2 linked regions of the Mus musculus genome follow. The protein of the gene in region 1 binds, or shares a complex with, the protein of each later gene. Links are inferred from orthologs where the notes say so. Each region holds a gene or a part of one and is shown on either strand. Other genes may lie near its edges.

Region 1 (5,067 bases):
GCGCACACACACACACACACACACACACACACACACACACACGCACGCACACACACACAGACACACACACCAGTGCACAAGCAGGACTCTCACAACGTGTTCCTTTCAAACTGATTCAACCTTCACAAACTAAAGTAGACAGCATCCGCTGCCGGTGGAGCTCACTGGTAGTTACATGCTGCGTTCAACCTCCAGGGTTGGCAATAGATGCATACGTCAATAAAAGTGTACCTATTTAGCTCAACTGGGGATTGGTGGCAGGCATGGTAATCCCTGACAATCCCAGCATTCAAGGGGCTAAAGCAGAAGAAATTAGTTTGAGGCCAGCCAGGGTTCTGGAATAAAACTCTTAAAAACAGATAAGCAACACCTTACAAAAACAAATCTTGGTGCAAGGTAAAAGTGAAGAGCTCTACAAGCAGTCAGTATTTACTTCCTTCTCTTTAAAGACAGTGGGACTTAACTATTCTTCTCGGGTGGAGGGACTTTAACTATCGTTCAGACATGTAAAATATAAGAATTCAGGAAACCTATCATCTGCATGTGACTAGCATACATGAAGCTGGGTTCCATCTCCAGCCCAGGAAGGGGATCACTTGGTGAGCTTTCATACCCCACAAGAGGGTAAATTCCAGTGCTCCCTTCTGTTTCTCCTCAACAGTGTCAGCCATTTGCTGACGAGCGTCCTGTGAACACGGCCTGGCTACACCAGCCTCATGCTGCAAAGAAAGCATTGCTCTGGGTGCGGCTCGCCAGCGCGTCCAGATAAATGTGCTCCTGCCCTGCCCTTGAGTGTGCAGAGGTCACAGGACTCCAACCACCTGAGCCCACTGAGGTGCCACCCAGGGCAGTCCTGACCCTCGCTTCCTCAGAAAGAGCAATTTGGTGGCACCAGTCTCTTGGGGTGCGGTGGGGTGGGGTGGGGTGCAAGTGAGCACATTAGGCCTGGGAGGAGATCAGAACGGACAGGAATTCTGACTATAATAACCCAGTCCACCTTCTGGGCAGGCCTCGCCTCTTATGAGGGCAGTGCCCAGTGATGGTCTTTCAAATGCTACTGTGTTTCTGGAGGGGCTTCACACCTGGGGGAGAAGGAAGAAGTGTTATGCTCGTAGGAATGTTCTAGAAACCTGCAAGGACAAAGTTAAACTGAACACTTCTCTAGCACCCTCTTGTCAGTCAGCAGCTGGTCACATCACTAGTGCAAATGGTCAGGGGTGTCGCACGTAACCAGCAGGGTCTAAAGAGAACACTGGTCAGGGGTGCAGCGTCCCGAGAGACTTTCAAGAATGTTCTCCCTGCTCTAGACACTCTGAAATAGGAAAAGAATCACCAAAATGAAAACAAAGTAAATGTAATTAAAAAAAAAAATCAACATACAAGAAAACACTTAAGGGGCTGGAGAGATGGCTCAGCGGTTAAGAGCACCGACGGTTCTTCCAAAGGTCCTGAGTTCAAATCCCAGCAACCACATGGTGGCTCACAACCAGCCATAATGACATCTGACGCCCTCTACTGGTGTGTTTAAAGACACCTACAATGTACTTACACATAAATAATAAATAAATCTTAAAAAACACTTAATAATTATCTTCCCTCTGTGTGTGTGTGTGTGAGGTATATATACATGTGTCAGTGTATGTGTGTATGCGTGTGTGTGTGTGTGTGTGTGTGTGTGTGTCTGCACGTGTGTAGGCCAGAGATTGATGCAGGTGTCCCTTCATATAGTTTTTGAGAAAGGGTCCCATCACTTCTTTTAGCCTGGCTAGCTGGCAAGCCCCCAAGATCTCATGGTCCCTAATGCTGGTATTATGTACACATACAACTCACTGAGTGCTCTGATGTGGGTGCTGGGAGTAGAACTCAGGTCTTCATGCCTGCAGGGAAAGCACTTTACAAACTGAACTATCTCCCAACCCATAAAATACTCTTCAAGAGTATGGCTCTCTGGGCTGAGAAGATGGCTCAGCAGTTAAGAGCCCTGGCTGCTTATTCCAGAAGTCCTGAGTTCAGGTCCTAGCAACCACGGCTTACAGCCACCTGTAATGCGATCTGATTCCCTCTTCTGGTGTGCATGAAGATAGAGCAGTCATAAGTAAATAAATAACTCTTTTAAAAAAGAAAGAAAGAGAGTATGGCTCTTTGCTGTCTGCGATAAACTGGCCCTAAGCCTGCCACAGTGCTCCAATCACCTACAGTCTCACCATGGGGGAGGGGACAAGTCTTGTTGCTTCTCACTATAGTTTGAGGTAGCACAGTGGTTTTAGGTTTGCAGAAAAACCATAAAGCAATAATCCTTCATCACTATTTATAGGGAGAAAACACTATTTCTGCAATAAAACAAAAACAAAAACAAAAACAGAAAGCAAAAAAAAAAAAAAAAAAAAACAAGAAAAGTTTAAAAGAATTCAAGAATCTGTTGATGCCAAAGAGGTTCAAACCAGTTAAATTTAATTCTACAATATCCACAGTGCCGGGTCTGTGAAGTTCACAGTGTAACACCTTAGGTGCAGGAGGGGACACCCCACGGGTTTCTAAAGCAACATAGTTCGTTAGCCAACCAGAGGATAGGGAGCCAGCCCCACACAGCCCTGCGCACCCCTCTGACCCCACAGTGTTCAGGCTTCCAACACCAGGATGGGGAGGGCCCTGCTTTAGGTACTTATTCCCCTCTGAGTTAAGGCCCAGCAGTAGCATACAAACCCAGGCAGAGCGGCCACTAAGTCCCCTGAGACACCTGACCTCTCTGTCCACTGGTGTCATTCCCATCTCACTTCCCACTGCAAAAGTAACAGTGCTCAGAAGGTTCCTACGGAGGGAGGGATGCTCGCACTGAGGAGCTTTAAGTGTTTCCCCGTATCTGAAGGCAGCGTACTCAGAGAACTACAAAATAGAAAAGTCATAACAATCAAAACCCGTATTTAAAAAGTCATAAGGGCATGTCACCTCAGCTCCCACGGGAGCAGACAGGACCCTCTATCCCAGGTCACGGTTTCCCAACAACCAGAGTCGTCCTTTCAAGGACTCCTTTCTAATTTCCCTGTTTTCCTCTTAGCAAAGGACAATGGGAGTCACGGTCCATCCTAGTGACTCCCGTGGATCCTTCAGGGCCTCTCTACTGCCACCCTCCACCCCTCAGAGGACACCACCCCACTTTACTTGCACCAGAAGGATGTCTGCCACCCGCAACATGAGGACTCTGTCACTGTCCCAGGCACCTTCATTCCAACCAAGCCCCGCCCAGCATGTGTGAGGACTCTGGGTGGGACCCTGCCACTAACCTGTGCCGGTTTTTATTCTTCCGTTTTTTGTGGCTGCTGTGGTGGCTTCCTGAGGAGGTGGAAGAGGCGGCTTTCTGAGGTTTCACTCCCTGGACGGAGCCGTCTAGGTCCTCGGGGTCCTCCTGCGCAGGCTCGTTTTCCTGATTGTGGAAGTCTGGAGAAGTATCGCTTTCCGTCCCACTTCCTGGTTCCCCTAGAGGAACGAAAACAGGTCCCAAAAGCCAGATCAGGACTCCTCAAGTCCCCACGGGCCATGGAACAAAGAAGACGGGGAACAGGCACTCAAAGTATCAAAGCTAGGAAACCCCTGAAATCCACGTGGTCTGCAGCAGTGCGGGGGACAAGCCTGACCACAACTCAGAGCACTAAGGGCCATTTCAATATGGAGCACACTGAAGAGAGGAAGGGTTACGCCTTGGCAGAACTGACAAACGGTCAGAGAATCCTGCCTTTCAGTGAAGAGTTGGTGGAGGATGAGCTGGAGAAATGACTCTGAGATTAAAAGCAGGCACTGCTCTTACAGAGGACCCGAGCCTAACTCCCAGAACTCATGTCATAAGGCTCACCCACTGGAACTGCAGCGGCAGGAGATCCGACACCTCTGGCCTCCTTGGGTACCTGCACCCACATGCACACGCACACACACACACACATACACACACACACACACCCCACACCCTGCCCTGCCCGACACATACAGACCATTTAAAAAAATAAATTTAAAAAGCAAAAAGAAGGTGGTACCCAGTGGGGAGCAGCGTCCAGTCCATCCGTTGATTACTGCCGTCTTGGATCTTTTTTTTTTTTGGAGGGAAGATAGAGATTGTCTCATGGGAACTTGGGCCGTGAACTTCCTAGGTCTCAGAGGATACCCCAGAACTTTTCCCCCCAACTTTTTAATTTACTTCATTTTGAAACGATGTGTATGTGTGCACGGGTAGGGTTATAAGCAGTGGAGTGCAGGTGCCTGCAGAAGTAAAAAGACATCGGATCTCCTGGAGCTGGTATTACGGCATCAGACACTGGCACTGGGATCTGACCCACGGTCCTCTGAACAAGCACAAGCGTTCTTAACAACTGCATCTCTCCAGCTCCACCCCTTTATCTTTTTAAAATTTCATTTTACTCATTTATGTGTATGTTCGGGGGAGGGAGGGTGCCACAGCAGGGTAGTTTCAATGGGCCTGTCCCCACAGGCTCAGGCCTTTAAACACCTATCCCTAGGCAGTGGAGCTGCTTGGGAGAGTGTACAACCTGCAGGAGAAAGTATGCCACTAAGGGCAGGCTCAGTGGGCAGAGGTTCGCCCCACTTCTTGCTCACTCTCTCTTTCAAGTGTGACAAAATAGAATCAGCCAGCTTCCTACACGGGGAACCCATTCTCGCACCATAAAGGAAGCCAAACTAAACTTCCCCTGGTGACGGTACTACTGACAGCAATGCAAAGTAAATGATATCCACGGCAAGCAAAAGGAGGTCAGGGAACAGCTTGGGAGGCTCGGCTCTCTCCGTCACCTCTCGGATCAGACTCAAGGCATCTGGCTTAGCCATTGTGTTTGCCTACTAAGACATGGACTTCCCGTCTTCCAGCCCCAGCTCCAGGACGCTGAGATTACAGGCACGACCCCCCATGGTTTTCCCCTGCCTCTGGCAATCCTGAGTACCGAACCCGGCCAGTAAGCTAGACCATTGGCTCAGGGAGGCTTGAATGAAGTAGTAATTAATGTTCTTCAACTGACATAAATCGTCAATTTTAAAACAGCGCTTCAAAAGTCAGGTTGGGTGGCA
Region 2 (5,067 bases), on another chromosome or scaffold:
TGCTGGGATTATATGATTTACCATACCCAGCTGATACTCTTGATTTTAAAGAGAACATAGAGTCTGAGAATTTTATGTGGATTCAGTTTTTGCCTTTTTTTTTTTTTTTTTTTTTTTTTATTTTTTGGTTTTTGGAGACAGGGTTTCTCTGTGTAGCCCTGGCTGTCCTGGAACTCACTTTGTAGACCATGCTGGCCTCGAACTCAGAAATCCACCTGCCTCTGCCTCCTGAGTGCTGGGATTTAAAGGCATGTGCCACCATGCCCGGCCAGTTTTTGCTTTTTAAGTAAATGTAATTCTGTCCTTTTGGGTTTTTTAAAAAGATTTTATCTGTATAAGCATTTTGCTTGCATGTATGTCTGTGTACATGTCTGTGTATCAGGGCCTGTGGAAGCCAGCAAAGGGCATCCAATCTCCCTGGAACTAGAGCTATACTGTGTGGGTGCTGGGAATTGGACCAGGGTCCTCTGGAAGAGCAGCCTGTATTCAGTTTTTAAAAACATCTTAGTGGCCAAAATAAAGTATGTCTGATGGCTAAATCCTAGCTACAGGGCACCAGTTTGCATTGCTCCAAAACATCTACTTAACCTATGACAGCATCTTCTGTTCTGTTAGGATGACTAATCTATTTATTTTACAGGGATACTTGGGTTTGAACTCCTTCCTTTGGACTGAAATGGCTGCAACCCAACTTCCAGTGGGAAAACCTGTAAAGGCATCCTGCAGCCTGCCTCCCATCTGTAGGAATGGTACCTGGTCCGGTCTGAGGCTGCACTGCTGCTGCTGCTGCTGCTGGACTCAGAGTCTGAGCTGCTTCGGGGAAGGTTGCAGTCATTACGGTACACCAAGAAACTCTTCTTCACTGGCTGGTTCCCACTGCTGAAGCCATTGGCTGGTAAGTCTTAGAGGGAAGAGGAGGAGGGAAGGAACCAACTGGTCAGGAAGATGTAGATCAGAGCCAGCATGGGGGGCGGGGGGGGGGGGGTAAGATGAAATCAAGAGTTTGGGTTCTCTTTCTGGGCTGAAAATTTCCTTCAGCTTTGGCCAGCGGAGATAGCTCTGGGCAGTTCTACCACAGCTGGCCAAAGGTCTTTCCTGACCCTCACCTCACCTTCCTTTGGCCTAAAGACATAAAGGCTTAAAGGGCAGGAAGTTCCCAAGACAGAAGAGAAGAGAAAACGTCAAGAGATGGTGGGGAGGGGTGTGGCTGTGAATCTGGCGGGGTAGTATCTCTGGGCCTCAGTTTTTACAAATGAAAGACGAGGAGGTGAAATTAAGACTCCTCAGCTGTCTATTATAAGGAAATAAGCTGGGGAGAATGGCAGCTCTGCTCACTCTCAGGGGAGAGGGGGAACTGGGGGCTGGGTGATGATGAGGCTCACCCATTGGGGGATCTTCTGTGGACTTATCACTGTCGCTGTCTGAGCTTGAACTGGGCCGGGGGCTCCTACCCCGCTTGCGCTGACGTAGGGAGCCCATGATGGGGAGCTGAGGGGGCCCCACAGGACTGCCTCCGTGGCTGGGGGTCATCTGGCTCTCCCGGTTTTTTGGGGGCCGGCCCGGCCTCTTGGGCGGTCCAGCTGTCTTCGGGTTCTTTTTGGAGAACAGAACTGAGGTTCTCCTGCCCACCTCATGTGCGGGGGTTGAGGACATGTTGGGACCCAGGCCTGGAGCAGAGAGAGAGAGAAGGAGAGTTGGTGAGGGGCCTGACATGAGAAGGGAGGGTAGATGTCCAGGGTCACACCCTGGGAATATAGAATCATTATCTAAAATTGAGATGATTTTGGGGCCTGGGATTTAGAACAACTCATACCAACAGCCAGAGAGGTAGCTAAGAAGCCCCTGACTGGGTAACGAAGAAGAAAGTACAGCTAGCCATGCAGGGCCTCTGCTTGGGAACAGCAGGGCTGAGTACATGCTACAGAGGTAAAATCTGGCTTGCTACGGGGTCCACCTTGCTATAGGGTTCAGACCTTTGCTTGTTTCCTGGCTGCTGCTCTCTTCTGCAGCACTGTCGGTCTGTCCATCTTTGTCACAGGCTGCTGGGTGGGGTGTCAGATTGCCCCGACCTGAGGGGCCATGACGCTCAGGCCCATCCCGGCCAGTCTCCCGCTGGTGAGCAAGCTTCCGCCGCAATGCTGTCATCTCCTTCTTGATCATTTTTGCACGCCGAGAGCGGCCCACACTCTGCTTGCTGGCATTGACTTCATCCAGCCTCTCCAGCAACAACTTCAGCTGTTCTTCTACTGGCAGGTGTTTCTGGTTCTCCAGCAGGACCAGCCGTTCTTCCTCTACTGCTAGGGAGAGTTGGGGGGAGAAAAGTCAGGCTCAAAGCAGCCCGTTGGGCCCCATGAACCTGGGCAGGCAAGAGGAAACCCACTCTTCCCATTGGCTTCTCCTAGAACAGCTGTTAAAACAGCAGCACTAGTATGTAGAGTGGTGGCCCAGCCATCCATTCACTCAGTCTGGCTTTTAGGAGAGCATTCCTGGGGAGAGCTTGCTGTTCCTCAGCCCAGCTGCTTTCTGCCTATATTGCCTGCTCCCAGGGACTTTAGGAAAGCTGTCCATCTCTACAGCATTGCCCTCAATACATGCGGATGACTTATCACCCACCATCTTCAGTGTGGTGTGAGACCTCATCTCCGGCCAGGTTGTGAGGGATATGCATGCCCGTCTCAAAGTCAATGCCCATTTTTTCTGCCTGTCGCCGGGCTTGACGGAGCACAGCACCACCCTGCTCACGGAGTCGCACTGCTGCCCTGTAGAAGATGGTGTCCTTGGCATTATACTTTAGGCAGTTGCTGACAATGAGGTTGAAGTCCTCCTCAAAATCATCAAAGTTCAAGTAGCGGTAAGCCTCCAAGTTCTGCTTCATGGTGAAAAAGTCCATGGGCTTTTTGATGTGGTCTAGGTAGTCGGGTACCTGGGAGAGCAGGGTAAGTGTCTAAGTGGAGATCTATTCTCATTCTCCCAAACCCTACTCTTAACAGCCCCCCTAAAATGCATCTAGCAACCACCTCCCACCATAGTTAAGAGGCAGGCATGTAGTACAAGGGGAAGTTCTAGTTCTGGCTTTACTAGTCACAAGCTGTGTGACCTTGGTAAGTCTCTTAACTTTCCTCGGCCTTATTTTCCTCTCCTGGAAATAGTAATAAAAATGCAGGCAAATATATTTATTGGCCACTGGCAGCTTTAATGAGAAAAAAAATCATGAGAATTCTCTAAAAATTATACCATCTTGTATATTGTTGTTCTTGTTTGTCATAAGGTTTGTGGTAAGGCCTCAAATGTCTCATTTCAGAAAGAAGGGTCAACCTAGGGCTTCAGAGTTGGCTCTTTAAATTCTTAGTCTTCTAAAGTTTCTATTCTAGGGTTGCACACCCTGAAAGCATCTTCCTGCCCTGTGATCTGGCAGACTCTGGGGAAGGAGTGCAGATGGGCTTCCATTCTGAGTTCTTGGGGTGGGGTAAGGATAGACAAGAGTCGAGGTGACACATGTAGCTCAGTTCATTCTGCCCCAGAGCCACCAAACCCTTTACACTTAGGTCCCAACCTAGTCCTGGGGTCAGACCTGCATCAGGGAGGGGTCCAACTGGGAGAGGAAGAAAAAGAAGTTGGAGTGAGGGGAAGGGATTCTTACTTCGTCCAATTCGGTTACCTCAGACAGAGGGACCGGCTCGCTGAAGATGTTGCCTGTGTCCTTCTCTTGGAGCTGCTCCAAGGTTTTTCGGAGGAGGATGAGGAAAGGGGTCAGCTGCATCTCCATGGCAATCTGCTGGATCTTGATCTGACACACAAAAAGGCTGGATCAGCCAGGTCCTGGCCAGTCCCTCAGCAGAGGTCAAAGGAGATGATCCTTGCTGGCTTAGGAACATGCTTTTCTCATTCAGACCCCATGAAAGAAAGCTGTCCTTATCTACTTTGGTCCCCGATCCTTTAACTCCTGGCCTGAGCTGCCTGGGTCACAGAGGTTTGGACTTTGTGCAATCTCCTTTAACATTTGGCCTCCCACAGACAGGCCTAAAAGCACATAATGCTGGAACTCAGAATGCCAGTATGGGCCTTGATGCTCTTGGCCATACACTTTCCCTTCTCCAGGACGTGTTCTACTTTGAGAACCAGGACTGGCCCTGGAGCACTCACCGTCTCCCTTTTTAGTTTCTCTCGCTTGCGGATCAGCTCCACCAGCAGCCGAGCTCGCTCCAGGTCATGCCGCAGTCTCTGCCAGGACTTGAGCTGTTCTTTGAGGGCCCAGTTTTTATCATCAGAATCTCTCTGTAGAGGTAAAAGGGGCATCAGAAAATGGTAAGAAAGCCAGAGGAGAGTCCAGAAGAGGAGTACCCAGGAAACCTAGGCCAAGGAGGAAACCCAGTAATTTACCAAAGCACCACTATTCACGTGTTGCCAGGGGCTAGAACCTAGAAAATGCTTGGTATGTTTGTTGAATTAATGAACCTACAGGAACAATGCCTTTCTACCAAGCTGATAATATACACATTTCATGTTGAGCCTGCAATGGGGTGGGGATGTTAATTTAACTTAGAAAAACTGTAAGCTCTTTGATGCTGGAGGATATTGCTACACATTTTAGTCCTTGCCCTTTTAGTACTAGTTTCCACAGCCCACAGGATTTGGACACGGTACCCCAACTTGTTCACAGTTCCTCTGAGACTGAAGGTGTGTTTGTAGGCGCCTGAGTAGTGGGACCCCATTCCGTGATTGTCGTTTCAGAGTCCAGTAGCTGTGCAGCCTCTGCATGAACTGGCTCTTCCTCTGGATGGTCAGGCGGTTGGTGATCTTACTGAGCCTGGGAACAAAATAAAACCCTGTTAGGTCCTGACTGCCAGGAAGAGCTCCTCAATTAGGATGAGTGGGGGCATTGATGCTCATCAAAAAGGTCTGGAAAATCAGGCATGGTAGCTCACACCGTGATCCCAGAAACCTAGAGGTGAGGGTAAAAGGATCCAGAAGCTCAAGGTCACATCTGACTATGGAGTTCAAGCCCAGCCTACAGGAGATTCTGTCGCAAAAAGGAATAGTTTGGAACTCTGGGTTTAAGGCATAATT

What was found.
Region 2: Meaf6 (region 1) and Brpf1 share a complex: the UniProt entries of both Homo sapiens proteins name them as parts of the MOZ/MORF complex. The link is inferred for Mus musculus from reciprocal best matches to the Homo sapiens genes MEAF6 and BRPF1.

The regions. Positions count from the first base shown.
Region 1 is NC_000070.6:125,101,246-125,106,312, reverse strand, and holds part of Meaf6 (chromatin modification-related protein MEAF6), read right to left. Parts: intron 3,475-5,067; coding exon 3,282-3,474; intron 2,884-3,281; exon of another isoform or gene 1-2,883.
Region 2 is NC_000072.6:113,316,268-113,321,334, reverse strand, and holds part of Brpf1 (peregrin), read right to left. Parts: intron 4,808-5,067; coding exon 4,645-4,807; intron 4,276-4,644; coding exon 4,144-4,275; intron 3,788-4,143; coding exon 3,659-3,787; coding exon of another isoform or gene 3,641-3,658; intron 2,924-3,640; coding exon 2,614-2,923; intron 2,298-2,613; coding exon of another isoform or gene 2,295-2,297; coding exon 1,974-2,294; intron 1,668-1,973; coding exon 1,383-1,667; intron 902-1,382; coding exon 754-901; intron 1-753. UniProt on the Homo sapiens protein: Scaffold subunit of various histone acetyltransferase (HAT) complexes, such as the MOZ/MORF and HBO1 complexes, which have a histone H3 acetyltransferase activity.